2 linked regions of the Astyanax mexicanus genome follow. The protein of the gene in region 1 interacts with the protein of each later gene in a biochemical or structural test. Links are inferred from orthologs where the notes say so. Each region holds a gene or a part of one and is shown on either strand. Other genes may lie near its edges. The genes, in order: prpf40a and mecp2.

Region 1 (7,743 bases):
AGCGAGATAGCTTAGCAAGGTTAGCGGAGAGCCCAGCTGATGTAGCTTAGCTGTCTCTCATGAACAGCAATAGCTCCCTTGCTTAACATACAGTTCCCTTGTGTAACATACAATTAATATAAAGCTAAATACGGGTTTTAGATGAGTTTACAACTTCTTTATTTCTCCTCTCTATCGTACTGTCTGCTCTGTCTCTCCTACCAGTCTAAACTTTGTGTAGATTGTGTAGATTTAGCCTCCTGAATTTGGCAACCCGAGTAAGCTTCGTGTCTTAGTTGTTTTGAAATTGGACTGCTGTAGCTGTTTTACACGCTCGCTCTCATTTCCTACAGAATGTACCTTTAAGTTTATAATAGACTTTGTCTGCACATCTAAACAATGACTTAGTACATATTTAACTAATTAAACATTAACTTAGTCTTTTTCCAGTAGATTTAGTAGAATTCAAAGTGCAAGACCTTTTATAAAATTTGCATCTTTTTGACAGTAATATTGCAAATGGCAAAACAGGATTTGACCCTTGTTCAAATGTAATTTCTTACCTGACCCATTGGAGGACCTCCCATTGGGGGCATCATAGGGGGCATCATCCCTGGAGGCATGGGAGCCATGTTAGGGGGCCTTTGGCCCATCGGTGGCATTCCCATTGGTGGGAAGTGAGGCGGCATTCCCGGAGGTCCCATCTTGGAGAGAAGCAAAGCAACACATTAGGAAAAACAGTTCAGGCTACAAATTGTGATTAGCAATACAAAACAAAACACAAGAAACTGCTTTCCAACACCAACTTACAAAAGGCGGTGGCATCCCTGAGGGTGGGACACCAGGAAAAGGTGGTGCTTGGCTTGGGCCATTATTACCATCAGCAGAGGACTGTCATGAACAAGAGAGCCCATACAATTACCACCGCAGCTCTGAGGAACAGATGCTCTAAAAAACTTCTGGTGAGTATGTTACTGTTATCCTTTAATGTAACAGAGACTTTAAAACAAGAACTCAGCAAAAAGGAAAAGTACACATCCAGCACCAGCAAGCTTGAAGTAAAATTCAGTCCTGAAACTAAAATGTTTATGGTGGACCACAACTCAACACAACACAGTGCATGCCTTTGAGGTGCACAGCCAACATGCTCATGTGGGGCTCATATGGGTGGACTGAGTGCTAGGTGAATATCAGATGGGAATGGGCTATTAGTGGGACTGTACATGTGTAACGATCCATATTGTTACAGCCCATCTTTATCTCACATGAGCCGCTTGTGCAATGCACTGATGAGCCACCATCACGGACATCCATTTGTGGGGTCAACATTAAAACTTTCTGGGTGCCAGAGTTACGCTACCCATAAAGGCCCCACCTGGGCATATTTTAAATGGATGGATGAGGTCCAGCTGTTGATATTATAACCATATACAATGACTGTTATCAACTTATTATTCAATATATTGACATAATCTAATTAGGACCTTATCAGTGCTTAAAGAAAAATGACCCAACTGTACATTTAATTATATAGAGTGTAAACAAATCCTGTTAAATTGGAAAATATGCAGCAAAAAAATAACAATAACCACTTAGCAATAATTTACCAATAATTTCTGGAACACATCATCAAAATGTTTATTTAGTGGGAAACACATAATAATAATAATAATAATAATAATAATAATAATAATTCAATATTATAATGAGTTAGCTAGATAACATTTGCTGGTAACTTTATAACCAGCTACATCAATTTATAACATTCTAGCTAGATACTTTCATTAGCTACTTTTTACACCCGAGACCCCTAAGTGATTTGTTACCTAGCTTGCTAGCCTAACTATGTTAGACAGAGACTGTAATGCAGACCTAGGCATTTTAAGGGCCAGGGGCCACATCTGACCCTTTGCTTTCCTATAGAAGGCCCTTAACATATCCACCTCAGAAACTAAACCAGACTTTACTACACTTGTTAAATACCAATACAGGCCTAAAAACAGTAAAACAGTTTATTATACTATGACCAAATAGCAGACAAACATAGTACTTTGTATTAAGTGAGTTTTTTTTTTTTTACTGCAAACACATGAACATTTTGTTCACTGCTGTTAATGTGTTTATATTGGTCAAATAATGACATAATATAATAGCGGTATTTAGGTTATATATACCTATACCTGCTTCACATGTTTATTGCCTAATTGTAACATCTAAACTTGGTTGGAACAGACCTGTAGAAGTAAAAACTTTGAACACTTTGAAATGAGCTAAGCTACCTAAATTTGGTAGCTAACAGCTAAATCTGGTGAGGTGAAAAAAACACAGATTTCACACACTGTCCTGTAGTGATGCTCTCAGGATGTTCAGTGTCACTTATGAACTTGACGGGTTTAACCTCCTGTCAATTGTAAATCTTGAAGATTTTTTTTTAAGCACTACATAAAAAGCTAAAGCACAATAGTAACTGTAATAGAAAAATATAAAACAATAAGTAAATCTATTAATGTCAAAATATAATGAATAAAATAATAAAATTGGCTGTTTTCTAAACTTCATTTCCAAAGCAATATTTTCCTGAATACAAATCAAACTGTTTATGTCCTCCAACCCTAGTTTCATTATGTTCGTCTAGTTTTTACGTCTATTTTCAAACATGCAAAATTAGGGTTTAATTCCTGTTACTGATCTGGAATTATTAAGCGAAATAGAGAGAAAACAGGTAGCTTCTCAAAGTGTCCTACAAGAGATTTCAAAGCCCTCAAATTTTCAGAATGTAAATAAGTTACTTTACTGCAGTAAAAATGGTTTTGTATCACCTACACCTGTAGCCTGTTTACAGTACCAGGCATTTTAGGGGTTTAAATTGAATGACAGAGTACTGTAGGGACATTTACACATCTTTTAAAAGGTCTATGACACAAATGTCACTGTGTATTATGTTATGTGGCCCCTTGGGTAAATTAACTGCCCAGCCATGCTCTGATGTGATGTGTTTATAATAGAGAACTAGCTAACGAAGCTAGGCTGCTAACCCAGCTAACAGCTAGCTGAACTAATCACTCAGTAACGTCAGAGTTTTAAACTCAGTAACCTGTGGAAGAACAGACTAACTTAGCTACTTTATAAAAAGGTAAATTTACTCTAATAATAATTAGGAAAAATATGAATAAAATACACTGAAGAATAAGGAGCTGAACTTTCACAGACAGCTCGGCTAGCTCGCTATAGCCACAGCCGGGCTCAGTCTCTTCTCTTTGTGTGTATATTGAGGATTTGAGGACACAGACCGGGGCGCAGACACGGCTCTAGGTGCTGCCCCGCTGCGCAGCGCTAAACTGGAGCTACAGGACCGCTGTAGTTTATATATAAATTAGTATAAACTGGTCGCTGAGCGCTGAATGAAGCAGCCGGGGGAGAATGACGGAGAACAGCGCAGCTCAGCGCAGCCCGCTAACACTCACCCACTCTCAGCACAACACACTGAGATAACCCCGCCGCCCGAGACCCCGAGACCCGACCCAGCCCAAACCCAGCACAGTAAACCCCTGAACCCAGCCCTGTACCGCTCACTGTCCCCAAACCCAACCCGATCCAGCACTTTACACACAGCGGATTCATTAACTCACCATGTTGACTCCACATTAGCAGCCCAACTTCTCCTCCACCACGCAATAAGCTGCCCTCTGATTGGCTCTTCCATTCAAACCCAAAGTTCAGGGAAACAGAGCGCTGCCTTTCGGCCCTCCGCGATGCGCACACAATGCGCAGAACCAGCCACCGACTGAGGTTAAACTGAGCGGGACTTTTTTTGTAGTTATCATGAAACTTATTACACAAAATATATGCTATTTTATATAATTATTTTAATATTGTTTTAATATTAAAAGTAAATGATAAAATAAAATTATAAGAGTGATAAGAAATGCTACAATGAATAATAATGGACTAAAAATCAAAATCAAAAATCAAAATCAATATAGAATAAAAATAAGTAAATAAAAAGTAAGAACAATAAAAATTTAAATAATAAGAGAAAGGATAAACTAAGCTTAGCAATAATAATGATGATGATAATATATGCGTCACACAGTTACATTTCTGGGGAGGTGTGCGTCAGGCTACGGCATAGGTTTGACGCAGAAGTAAAATTAGTATTTACTTTAGTGTGCTGCTTTCCTTGTATGTTTGTAGACGTGAAGAGATTCTTGGGGGACCATAGGGGGGTCCAAGTGTGTTGTGGGAGGGATACTGGCCCCTGTTGCCCCTCTAGAACCTTCACTGTAGTCAACATGGCACCTCATTGCAAAGAACTCTCTGAGGATCTGATAAAAAGGATTGTAGCTCTGCATAAAGATGGCTTAGGCTGTACAAAACTACGCTGCAGCATGGTGGCCAAGACAATATAGCAGTTTTTCAGGACAAGTTACATCCAGAACAGGCCTCACCATAGTCAACCTTAGAAGTTGAGTTCACATGCTCAGCGGCATATTCTGAGGTTGGCTTTTGAAAATAGATGCATGAGTGCTGCCAGCATTGCTGCAGAGTTAAAAGGGGTGGGTGAGTACTAAGACCAAACGCCAAACACTGTATTAAAGGACATGGCTTACTGGAGCCATGTCCTGTGGTCTGATTAGACAAAAAAACTTATTTGGTTCAGAATGTGGCACATATGTGTGTCAGCAACCAGGTGGAGAGTACAAAGACAAGTGTGTCTTGCCTACAGTTAAGCATGGTCTGGCTGTGGGGGGCTACATTAATTGAGGGATCCATGAATGCCAACATGTCCTTACATACTGAAGCAGCGCACAATCCCCTCCCTTTGGAAACTAGACCGCAGGGCAGTTTGACCTGTTGACCACTGCCTTTCCTAAGAAACTAAGGGTGAAGATGCTGGACCGGCCAAGCATGTTTCCAGACCTAATCCCTATTGACAAAATATTGACATTGGCACAATTTGGCCATTTTACTTCGGGGTGCACTTGGAAGTGGTTTAGACATTAATGGCTGTGTCTTAAACAAGCTGTACACTGACTACTTTACATTGTATCAAAGAATCTTCAGTGTTGTTCAATGAAAAGTACAATTTTTACAAAAATGTGAAAGGTGTACTCACTTGTGAGATACTGTTTAAAGTTCTAAAGTAGATAAAAACATATTTTGACACTTTAGGTTTTCCATACAGCTCAAAGTGAAAAAGATATAAAATACATACAGTCAGCAAGACAATGATCTAGCAACATATCAGAGATTCAGGCCAGAGTTGTAATAGCAGAGATGCTTCCAATTGCAGTTAAATGTATCAATATGATTTTGAAACTGTAGTTTTACAATAATTACATAATATAATTGTATATTTATTTATATTATTATTATGCCAGATATATAAATATGTACTTTTTATGCTCCCATATCTACTTCAAAATCATCTTGAAAGACCTCCTTATACTCCTGATAGTAGCATTTTGCCCTTAGAAAAAAATAAGGTGATACCAAAAATAAATACCAATACAGGATCACTTCCAGCACATCAGATTCTCTCCAACACAGAAGCATCAAATATCCCTCACCATATTTTATGTATGGTGCTCTGTTTGATGTATGTATGTCTCTTCCTCTTACATCAATCACACCTGCAATCTCTGTGGCCAAAGAGTTGAGATCAATCAGACTACAGGATTTGCTCAGAGTGAAAAATATAGAGTGTTAATACATTTTATGCTCTTAATTTTTTTTTCTGCTCAATTCTGCAAACAGTTTGTTGGCATGGTGGTGCTGGCTTTTTAGCTGGAGTCAATAGGCAAGACAGTGCATGCAAACAGTGCATAAACTTCTTATTATTAATTATACAATCTTGAGAATAAAGGTAGAATAAAGGGGTTTGAATGACACCATAGAAGATATACAGCTCTGGAAAAAAATTAAGAGACCACTATTTATAGGTATATGTTTAAGTAAAATTAACATTGTTGTTTTATTCTATAAACTACGCTTCAACATTTCTCCTAAATTCCAAATAAAAATATTGTCATTAGAGCATTTATTTTGCAGAAATGAAAATGGCTGAAATTACAAAAAATATGCAGTATACCTTTCAGACCTCAAATAGTAAAAAAACTAAAAGTTTTATGAGTTCAGAATGCAATATTTGGTGGAATAACCCTGGTTTTTAATAACAGTTTTCATGCATTTTGGCATGTTCTCCTCCTCCAGTTTTGCATACTGCTTTTGGATGAATTTAGGCCACTCCTGGTGCAAAATTCAAGCAGGTCAGCTTTGTTTGATGGCTTATGATTATCCATCTTCCTCTTGATTATATTCCGGAGGTTATCAATTTTTCAAAGAAAATCATCGTTTTTAAGTGGTCTTAATTTTTTTTTAGTAAATTTTCAATTTACTAGTTAGTTTGGCTTAGGTGATCCCAGTATTGTATGTTAACTCAAATATTTAATTAAGAAGCAGGTTTTATAGTGATCTGTACGAATCTCTTTAGTGATTGATCGTATCAAAAGTTTTTTTTATTTTTATTAAAAGGTAAAAATATTTTAATTTGTTTTATTGTTGTATTCTATTGTCTTGGTAGGTGTTTTATTTAAATTGCATGCAAATTAAGTGAAACCATTAGGTTAATGACTCGGGCAGTTATTTTTGTTTACATGTTATTATGAGGCTGCTGCTTAAATAATAAATGAGGAAGGGTCTAATTGTTCGACTGCATCATGAGCGGAGAAATATTATACGAGCCAAACTTCTGACATTTGTAACACAAGGGAAATCAATCAGTGCAGCCTCCCATGGTACAGTACACAGCTGACTCTGAGCGGGCGAAAACAATATTGCGTCCGACACAGGATCTATTTATAAACTCTCTGCAGGTAGCTGGTAAAAATCTGTCTGTCTCTGTGTTGCCATGGTCATTCGTCATGCTGCTTTAATTGGCCACATGTTCCAGTTTACCCCGAAAAATTTATTTCTTTCACCCCGTGAGGATTGAGATTCATTTTTGTGCCTGAAATATAGCACCCTCACAATGCCACCCAGTTCTGTTTGACTTCAAACAAGCCTGCGCTGAGTGGAATTTTTAACCTTATGTTCCGGTGTTGCTGCTGGGTATAGTAAGAAGAACATAAAAAAAAATGTGGGGAGAATTTTGAGGAACTGAACATCAGTCTTTAACATAATATATTTTTTGCATGGTGTCCAATATTTTTTATGTTTAATATGGAACATCAGCTAATCATTATGAGGAGCTGCCAGTTCTTCACTTTCAAATGATAAGCCATTAGAAGCTTTAATGGCTGAAAATGAGGCGCTCTTTCACACTGGTAAAAGAGACAGAGCAGGATGACATGGCACAAGCGGATATGTGGGGAAAGAAAAAGCAATTTTCATGTAATTGGTTATCATCCCTGAGGTTTGAGCTGAGCCTAATGCTGGGTTCAAAGCCTTCCAAAATTCTCTGTATTGTACACAGGCACATGGTGGTCTTGTAAGGTCTATCGCTGTGCCATTGTTGCCAGCTGCTTTGACCATTTTTAGCAAAGAGAGAGACCGTGGAGAACATGGGCACATATGGGGCTTGAATTATAGAACATCTCAAAGCAAAAAAAATGGGTTATAAAGCAGACTCACTTCAATATATTTGCTGAAAATCTTCAGACTGAATTTAGGTGTTATATATTTAAAGTAGTGGTGTCAGTCGATTAATAAATGTAGTCAATATTCTGGATTAACAGCGATTAATCACTTTTGTTCTTCTGAAGA
Region 2 (8,931 bases), on another chromosome or scaffold:
AAAGTGAGTTAAAGAGAGGCAGAGACAGTTTCTAAATAATCAAAAAGCACAATTTAATAATTCAAGACCTTTTTTCTCTGCCATATACAGCACTAGAAAAAAACTAAAAAAAATGTGATTGAAAACTAGCATTATTCCACCCAATATTGATTTCTGAACTTTATGAAAATGAACGTTTTTTTTTTTTTGCATTATTTAAGGTCTAAAAGCTCTTTTAGAGCATTTTCTTCAAATTTTGTTTGTAGTTTATATAATAAAACAACAATGTTAATTTTACTCAAGCATAAACCTTTAAATACCAAAATCAGATAAACTAATTCAGAAACGTATATAATAAAACAATTATATAATAAAACTTCATATAATTTGTTTCTTTTTTCCCCTGGTTTCATTTAAGATTTTAAAGTATAAAAGATACAGAATAGCTGCTGAGTTTAGGAGTATTTGTCTGTCTGTGATTTGTCTCTTTGTCTAAATGTATTTATGTATCGATCGTGAAGGTGGTGGTCCTCTATAACACACCCAAGTATAGGCCATTAAGCTTTTGGTACTAAGGAGAGTCCAATAAAATGAACATGTGTGTCAACTTCCTTTCCCTAAAGTTACACTGGAACTTTTTACTGTTTCTACTGTTGAGTTTAGGTATTTTACTGTGCAATAGAACCTGGACCTCTAGATTAAATCACCGTTTGTGGAGTCCTGAAGGGTGTTTTTGAGCTCCTCTCCGTTGCGCAGGATGGTTTCCTGTGATTTGAGGGCTGCGCTCTGGGCCTCTACAAGATCCTCCGCCATCCTCTGAGTGGACGCCAGCTGCTCGGCCACACTGGCTGAATTCTCGGTCAACCTGACACAGAGAGGCTTATAGTTTATATATTAAGGAAAAGAGGCTGCATTTTTACAATACAGATTAAGCTAGAAATTGTAAAAAATTATAAAACATAGATTCCGAAAAAAGATAATCCTTCATCAACATTAAATTTAGCCACATGGAACTGGAATCTATACTTGCAAAACAGTAGATATTCTATACAGCTAGTAAAATATTAGGAGCCTATTTTCCAGAACTTAGATTTCCCAAAATAGTATCTTTACAGTTCCTTTTTTTTTTTAAGTGACGCTACTGAATAACTATAAAAAAACCATAACATTAAAATAGTGCTGGGAGGATAATTGAATCAATAAAGTCATTAATCAAATTGCTGTTTTAGTGCAATCATAAAATTATTAACTTTTACATATAGGGGAATTTCTCAAACCGAAAGAAAGAAAGAAAGAAAGAATATAGGGGAATCTCTCAAAACAAGAAAGAAAGAAAGAAAGAAAGAAAGAAAGAAATAAAGAAATAAAGAAAGAAAGAAAGAAAAAGAATATAGAGGAATTTCTCAAAACAAGAAAGAAAGAAAGAAAGAAAGAAACACTCATATATATATATATATATATATATGAAATATAAGAAGGTTAAATTTTGCACCTAGTTGTTCATCAACTGATTGTAAGGTTTAATGGATCTGTTAACTATATTTAAAAGAAGAGAAATTAAACTTTTGTTTTTATATTGGCTTTATAGCATTTTAATTGGGTTTTGATGAGTTTGCTTCCCTTAAGATTAAAATGTAAAATAAACACATTTGACAGCTCAAACTGACGCAAATATAAAACTTAAACAAAACGTGTTTCCAGTTATGTACTAACAAACAATCAAAATTGTAATTGTTCATTTAACTAAAGAATATTGAGATTGTAAAAAAAAAAAAAAAGTTATCCAGTCCTACACAGAAAGTGTTTCTTCCTTGATGAGGCACAAAAAAAAGAAACAACTTTAAAATCAGTGAGTAGGTAATGACCATGAGTCTGGACCTCTCGCCCAGAATCGCCCTTTCCCACCTGTGGATGGTGTTTTCTGCCCGATTCTGCCACTGCTCGCTCTGCAGGTAATGGCAGATGCTGTGGGCGTGGGTGAAGAACTCTGTGTAGGTGTTGAACGCGACAGGATCCATGTCACGGGTGCAGACTTTAACATCGCTGCCCTCAGGGCACTCTGGGAAATTACGTCCGGACCTACAATGAAAAAACATCAAACAGTCACCTGATTGGAGCACACAGACTGTATGGCGGTTATATAAAAAGCATTTAGTCTTTTTAAACGGGCAGGACAAAGCTGAGCTCTCAGGTCAGCTCTCTAGGGTGGAGTTAGATTACAGTAGCAATAAGCTGAATAAATCAACGTCAATTTATTTGTCTCAGAGCTACTATCAAATGAAACAGAAACAGACAATAAACAATACATCATTAGCTTCACAGCAGCCCAAGGCTATGCAGCTCTAGTAACGCTGATTCACATTCACAACGAGCAGAATCTGACAGTTCAGATACCAAAAAGGAATTAAAGCTGATATATCTGTGCTTATTTCTATTACATAGAGGCCCAGTTTAAACTTTTTCAAATGTTTTCCTACATTGTAAAATAATATGAAGCATCTAAATCTAGAATCACTTTACTAAATAATTCCATATGTTTTTATTCATAGTTTGGATGGCTTTAGTATCAATCTACAAAATGTAAATTATGGAATATTATATCCAAATCTTTAAGTGGTACTGTGGGTGAATATATAAAATACAAACTCTCATTCAGAACATTAAAATAAAAAAATATATATATATTTTGTACATTATTTTGTACTATTATTTTCCATTACATAACCATGTTTAGCTTTCATTCCAGATCAAATAAAGCAGGGTAAGGGTGATCTGATTAAATGATGAAACATTATTATTTTTAAGATTGTAGTGTTTTATAGAACGTATCGTCACTGTCCAATGAAAAACTAGTATATCCATTTTTGTAATTTTTTTGTTTATTACATAATTTTAACAGACAAACTGTCCCTTCCACTGTGCCAAAAATTTCTTGATGAACAGACCAATAGAAATACTTAAAATTGAACTGAAATAAACTCTTTTTACATTGACTTCCATTGAAAGTTTAGAAGGTTTTTTTTCTCTTCTGTAAAAAGGAGACACTTTTTTTAATTGGACAGTGAAAATATAGAGTTGTATAGAAAATGGATGAAAACCTATGCATAGTATTGTAGTTAATGATGCTCGTTTGGCATTTTTAAAACACTAGTTATTCGTCTAACCGTAGTAATCAGTCGATTAATCAATTAATAATCGAATCAGTCCTATTAAGTGTGTGTGGTGGGTGAATCTGAGACCTCCTCAGGTGGCAGTGGGTGAAGGCCACGGCTATCATGCTCTGCATGTCCGCGGTGAACTCCCTGCAGCCCGTGTGGATCTTCTCCAGAGCCCGGCTCCAGCACTCCCCGTACCGGGGCTGCACCGCCAGATCCCGCACCTTCCGCAGCTCATCCCGGCCCTTCTCCTCCAGGGTTTTATCCGCGGCCACGGCGAGCAAAACCCCAGCAAACCACCACAACTGCACCCCAACGCGCATGGCTTACCGCAGCTAACAGGCCCTGGATTCAGTAATGGGAAAACCACAGCGTGGAAGCCACGCCCACAAACCCCGGTCCAATCAAGACAGAGCCGACGGTCCAATTAAGCTTCGTGCAGGCTGATTGGAGAATTAAGAGGACCTTCTATGGAGGTGTCCTAAATCAACCACTTGCTCCCTAAGTAGTGAATTGAGCCTAAAGAAGGTAGGCTTTGTGACACATGCTAATATTGTTTTTTAAAACTCCCAGACCTAGTTTAGCGTCACTACTGGATAAAATATAGAAACTAAATAAAAGTATCTGAATAAAATGTTTTTTATTTTCATGTTTTAATTATATTTTTTGTACTAATACTATTACAGTATTTATTCCTATTCCTACTATTTTCTCTTTGTCTCGCTGTTTTGTTATTTTTTGGTTTTCCTTTGTGAAACTTTAATTAGAACTGCAATATTTATATGAAAATGTTACGTAATTATTGTATTATTATTATTATTGTTAGTCACATTATATTAATTATATTTTTACAGCTTTAACAAGAATTATATCACTTGAATGCAAATTTAAAGTTAGTGGTTATGTTCAACAACAAGTAAAACATTTATACAGCTGAACTATATCACTATATCTATATTTATCTATAGCTGAACTTCATCACAGAGAGTTCTGAGGCAGCTGTGATACGGCATAGGACTCCAAAAGGAATTAGACATATTACTGTATGCTTTAACATTTGTTTAGATGTATAGTATCACTACTTGCCAATGTCAGCATTTAAACTAAATAATTGTGCTATGAAATGCCAAAAAGCATTTACTAGTGGGTGGTTTGCAGTGGATGTGGCATTAAGTGGGTATGTATTGGCAATATTAAATTGAAAATTAATTGACAATTTTTGAGGGCCAGGGTTAGGTTTGTCCTGAGTTTTTGGTTTTGTAGATGATGCTCACTCTTCTGGTTTACACTGATCGATACAGTGTGAAGCTTCTTGGTCTGATTATATTTCACTGATCTTAAAATTGGTGAAAATCAAATAAGCTAGTGTTCTGAAAGCATGCGGTTATGTTCCTATGTGCCATAAACGGATTAGAATCGGGTTAGAGAATTAGAAACTGACAGGAATAGGAGGTGAGCAGCAAGTAGGGCATAAAGAAAGCAAAATCATGTAGCCTGAAATTAAAAGTGTTTGTCTTAAGGTAGATAGTATAACAAGGTGTGTTCAAACTTTTGACTGGTAACGTATAATTTACAAGACAAAAGAATTAAAACCTACAGTACAAATCTTAACATTAATGCATAAATTAGGATAAAATATTAATGCAAACTCTGGAAGTAGTTCCCATCAACTGCTTGGCAGTCAAAATAATCTTCTAATTATCTAAACATCATAAACATCATAAGTTTTAAAATTTCACCATAATATTTATATCAGTGTACAGCAGGGTTACACCGTGAGCTCTACACTGTAAAACTCGAACAAAAACACAGTGCAAACAGATAATGTAGTTTAGCCTGTCACAATAATTGTATTATCAATGTCCTCAATATTTATTCCGAATTAGAATATTGTCTATTGTGTTTGTTCACATTCATAAAAGTGAACAGTATTTTAGCCAATGCTTCAAAAAAGTATATTATATAGTATATTTCCCAAATTATGATTAATCGCAAATTTGTTGTCGTTAAAAGTATATGATTGCTTTGCTGTGTTATTCTGTTATCATTATATTTAATGGTCATAAACTGACAATACTATTGTTAATTAATAATTAATCACAATAATTACTGGGACGATATATCAAGATATATCAATTTTATTACAAAATACAAAAAACACATAAACACCCTCCTATTCAGATGTAACAGTATGGTATTGCAGTGTGTGTGTGTCTGTGTGTGTACCCCCCTCTCTCACTCGGCCTAGACATACATTCCTCTCCGATGATTGCCTGCCCCCCCCCCAGTTCTCGCGAGAAGTGCTGCCGCGCAGAGCGGGACAGAGCGGCGGAGCGGCCGCGGAGGTCTCGCGAGATGTGCAGCAGAAGCGATGGTGTAGAAGAGGGAGTGGGGAGAGGGCGAGGGGCGCCCACAAAGATGTTGCGTGATTTTTTGGGGGAATTTATTTATTTAAATAATAAAATATAAAAAAATGGCCGCCGCGGAGAGCGGAGAGGAGAGACTGTAAGTGCAAAATTGCTGTTTGTTGAACGCCGTAAAAACCGCCGCGGAACCGCTGATTCAAATGTCGGGCGCCGCACAAAAAAGCGCCGCTGCTGTTGCGCAGTATTCATTGTAGCTGTACCGGAGCCGCTGTTGGGCTGCGAAATAAATAAATAAAATAGTAGTGCTGTTAGCTCGCCGCGCTAGCCCGTTAGCCAGCTAGCCAGAAAGGCGTTGAGAGGATACGTCACCTGTATTTCCCCCTCTGCCTTTCCCAGAATCGCGGGGGATACGAGCGAATAGCTACTTTCCGCGCGGCTGTTCGGTTAGCTAGCTTAGCTCAGTAGCGGGAGAGGAGCAGGAGGAGGAGGAGGTGTGTTTTGGGTCGTTTTCTGACCTCACTCAACTCTCTGCGAGATAACCTGGCTAGCTAACTAGCTACTACCTCCAAACCTCTCTCTTTATGTGTGTGTTCTCTCGTGAAATACTGTAGCTAAGCTAGCTAGTGCCTCTCTTGCTGCTTGTTGTCCTGCTTTCTCCTTCTTCTCTTTCTTTTTTTTGACGGTTCAAAACTGAACCCGTTCACCCCACCGTGCAGTTAGTTGAAAATAAGTTAGTTAGCCAGCCTGCTATCTATCTGTCATACCCAGAAACCTGCTTCTGCTGTTTTCATGCTTGTGCCTTCTCACAACAATGTTAGTAACTGAAAAACACACAAACTCGTGTCATAGTCGCTTTAGAGCACACACACACAAACACATGTATATGTTAGACAGGCTTGTCTTGTTTGTCTTGTTTGATGGTCAGTCAACTAGTTGGCTTAGTTAGCTTGATGTACAGTTACAGCTGTTGTCTCTGGTCAGTTGAGTTCAGATGGAGGTTTTGCGTTTTTTTCTTTGGGAGAGGATGAGCTGGGGTGAGTGCACTCACTCTGAGCACAAGACACTCCCATCTCATTTCAGATTTCAGGTTAGTTTCTGTACCAAATGGGCCACAACACAGTGCTGCTTTAGGTTGTCACATCTTGGTCATCAAAACATCACACAAACTCTTAGCCTACTACCTGCTCTCACATGGTGGCCTGGTTTGGGGTAATTTTCTGAAATCACTGGCTAGCTAGCTAACTAGCTCCTATCTCCAAACCTGTGCATGTGTGTTTTTTTGGGAACAATTTTTTTTTTTAAATGTGAAAACGGCACCGGTTCACCCCACTGTGCAGTTGAAAATAAGTTAGTTTGCCAGACTGCTATCTGTCATTTCCAGAAAGTTGCTTTTGCTTCTAATGTTTCCATGCTTGTGTCTTCTCACAGCAATAATACTAACTAAAAAACACATAAACTTGTGTTATAATGCCTTTACATTCACACACACACACTTGCTGACTGTTTCTGCTATTTTGTTTGATGGTCACTCACCTAATTTGATGTGCAGTTACAGCTCTCAGTTCAGGTCAGTGAGTACATATAACCTGAAATCATCCACATTTTTCGATGGTCATTCTTAGCAGCATAGTGTTTTTAACCCAACTAACTTCACATGCTATTGCATCTGTTGCTGCTACTGAGGTGGATACAGGTGACAGTTCAGTTGAGTTCAGTTCAGTTCAGTTGGTGGCTTTACTTTTTTGTGTTTTCTTTTTTTATGTGGCTTGAAAACTATACTAAGTTTGCTCATGCTTGCAAATTATGCATTTGGATGCTTTTTAAGAGAGATGAGGACACCCTTAACCTCCAAGCACATTCTTTTCCGAAGCTGTAGTAGTGACAAACATTACCCGAACGTTTGTTGTAGAACATCTAATGCTAGCTTCCACACATGCTGGCCTGATTCTGCGGTCTGTTTGTGTGCACATGCATGCAAATTACTTAGTTAATTAGTTAGGATGGTCTTGTTTGATTATAATTGAACTACCTTGACATACAGCTGTCAGTTCAGGACATTTCTGCTTAATGTTGTTACACCTTGGGAATCAGACTTTCACCCAATCTCGATGTAGTGCCTGCTTTTATATGGTGGCCTGGTTGTGCTTTCTATGGCTTTACCATCCAAGTTAGCAAATTTGTAGAGAAGATAGTTAAACAGTTGGAGGCTTCCATGGAAGGATGAGGACACTAGTATATGTAGTGCTTGCTTTCCGCACACACACACACATATGCTGGGCTTGCCTTTTTGTCTGTTTACATACATATGTTTGCAGGTTTTTTTTAGCTAGTTAGGCTGGTCTTGTTTGATGGTCACCAACAACTTGCCTGCTGTGCAGTTATAGATGTCAGTTTAGGTCATTTGAGTTCAGATGGAGGTTTTTCTTTGGGATTAATGAGCTGGAGTAAGTGCAAGTGCACAAGACACTTCCTTTTAAGTATATATGTGATTTAAGGGTAATTTGGTTGCGTTTCCGATTTCAGGAACACAACACATTGCTTCTTGGATGCATTCTGAAATACCCATCTACATATGTAGCTTCTTATATGTTCTCACATGTGGGACATCAGACTGATTTTCCTCTTGTCATACTTTCTCATATATATGCCTTGGAGATTTTCTATGGAGGTTGGGCGCATTGTGTTCAACTACACATCTTGCGTACAGCCACATTAGTGACCGGAAATCGGAAGTCTTGACTGGCTATTATTGCTAAACCATGCTAACTTTATATGCAGATTGCTTCAGTTGCTAACATCAAGGTGGATACAGGTGATTAAGCGCTGCTCAGTTGAAGGCTTTGTTTGGAAGGATGAGCTGAAGTTAAAGTACACAAGGCAAGACACTCGTATTTGAGCAGGCTTGTGTTGTGATTTCAGGGTAATATGTTTAAACTCTATTGCAGGTTAGTTGCTGTATCAAATGCGCCACAACACAGTGCTTCTTGTGTACTTTCCTGAAGAACCCACACTTCCTGTGTATTGTCACGTTAGGTACAGGGTGGGTGATATGACTAAATACCTCATACACTGCCTGGCAAAAAAAAAAGTTGCTGCCTAAAAAAATCACACTCTAAAATTTCGTTTAACTTTTAGCATTGATTGTGGCATTGTTTTGATAAGCTTCTGCAATGACAGAAGATTTATTTCAATCAAGTGTTACATTTTCACCAAGATTTTGCACTGATAATGGTAGAGCCATCAGGAAAGAAAAAATCCATTGATCCAGGAATAACATGGTCTATATTCAGTATATTCAGGTAGTCAGCTGGCCTCATTCTTTCAGCACATACTGTTGCTGAACCTAAACCTGCAGACCAACTGCAGCAATCCCAGACCATCAGATAGTTTGTATTGTGGTATTTTTTTTTGTTATTACATACTTTTTATAG

Evidence for each region.
Region 2: the proteins of prpf40a (region 1) and mecp2 form a complex in vitro, tested with the Homo sapiens proteins (2 studies listed by BioGRID, with this or other methods). The link is inferred for Astyanax mexicanus from reciprocal best matches to the Homo sapiens genes PRPF40A and MECP2.

What each region holds. Positions count from the first base shown.
Region 1 is NC_064418.1:29,812,257-29,819,999, reverse strand, and holds the start of prpf40a (pre-mRNA-processing factor 40 homolog A), read right to left. Parts: upstream 3,655-7,743; 5' UTR 3,612-3,654; coding exon 3,609-3,611; intron 871-3,608; coding exon 790-870; intron 684-789; coding exon 543-683; intron 1-542.
Region 2 is NC_064419.1:4,150,159-4,159,089, reverse strand, and holds the start of mecp2 (methyl-CpG-binding protein 2), read left to right. Parts: upstream 1-5,463; 5' UTR 5,464-5,607; coding exon 5,608-5,639; intron 5,640-8,931. Other genes in the region: uncharacterized protein LOC103030869, read right to left, coding at 687-844, 1,885-2,058, 3,219-3,457. UniProt on the Homo sapiens protein: Chromosomal protein that binds to methylated DNA. It can bind specifically to a single methyl-CpG pair. It is not influenced by sequences flanking the methyl-CpGs.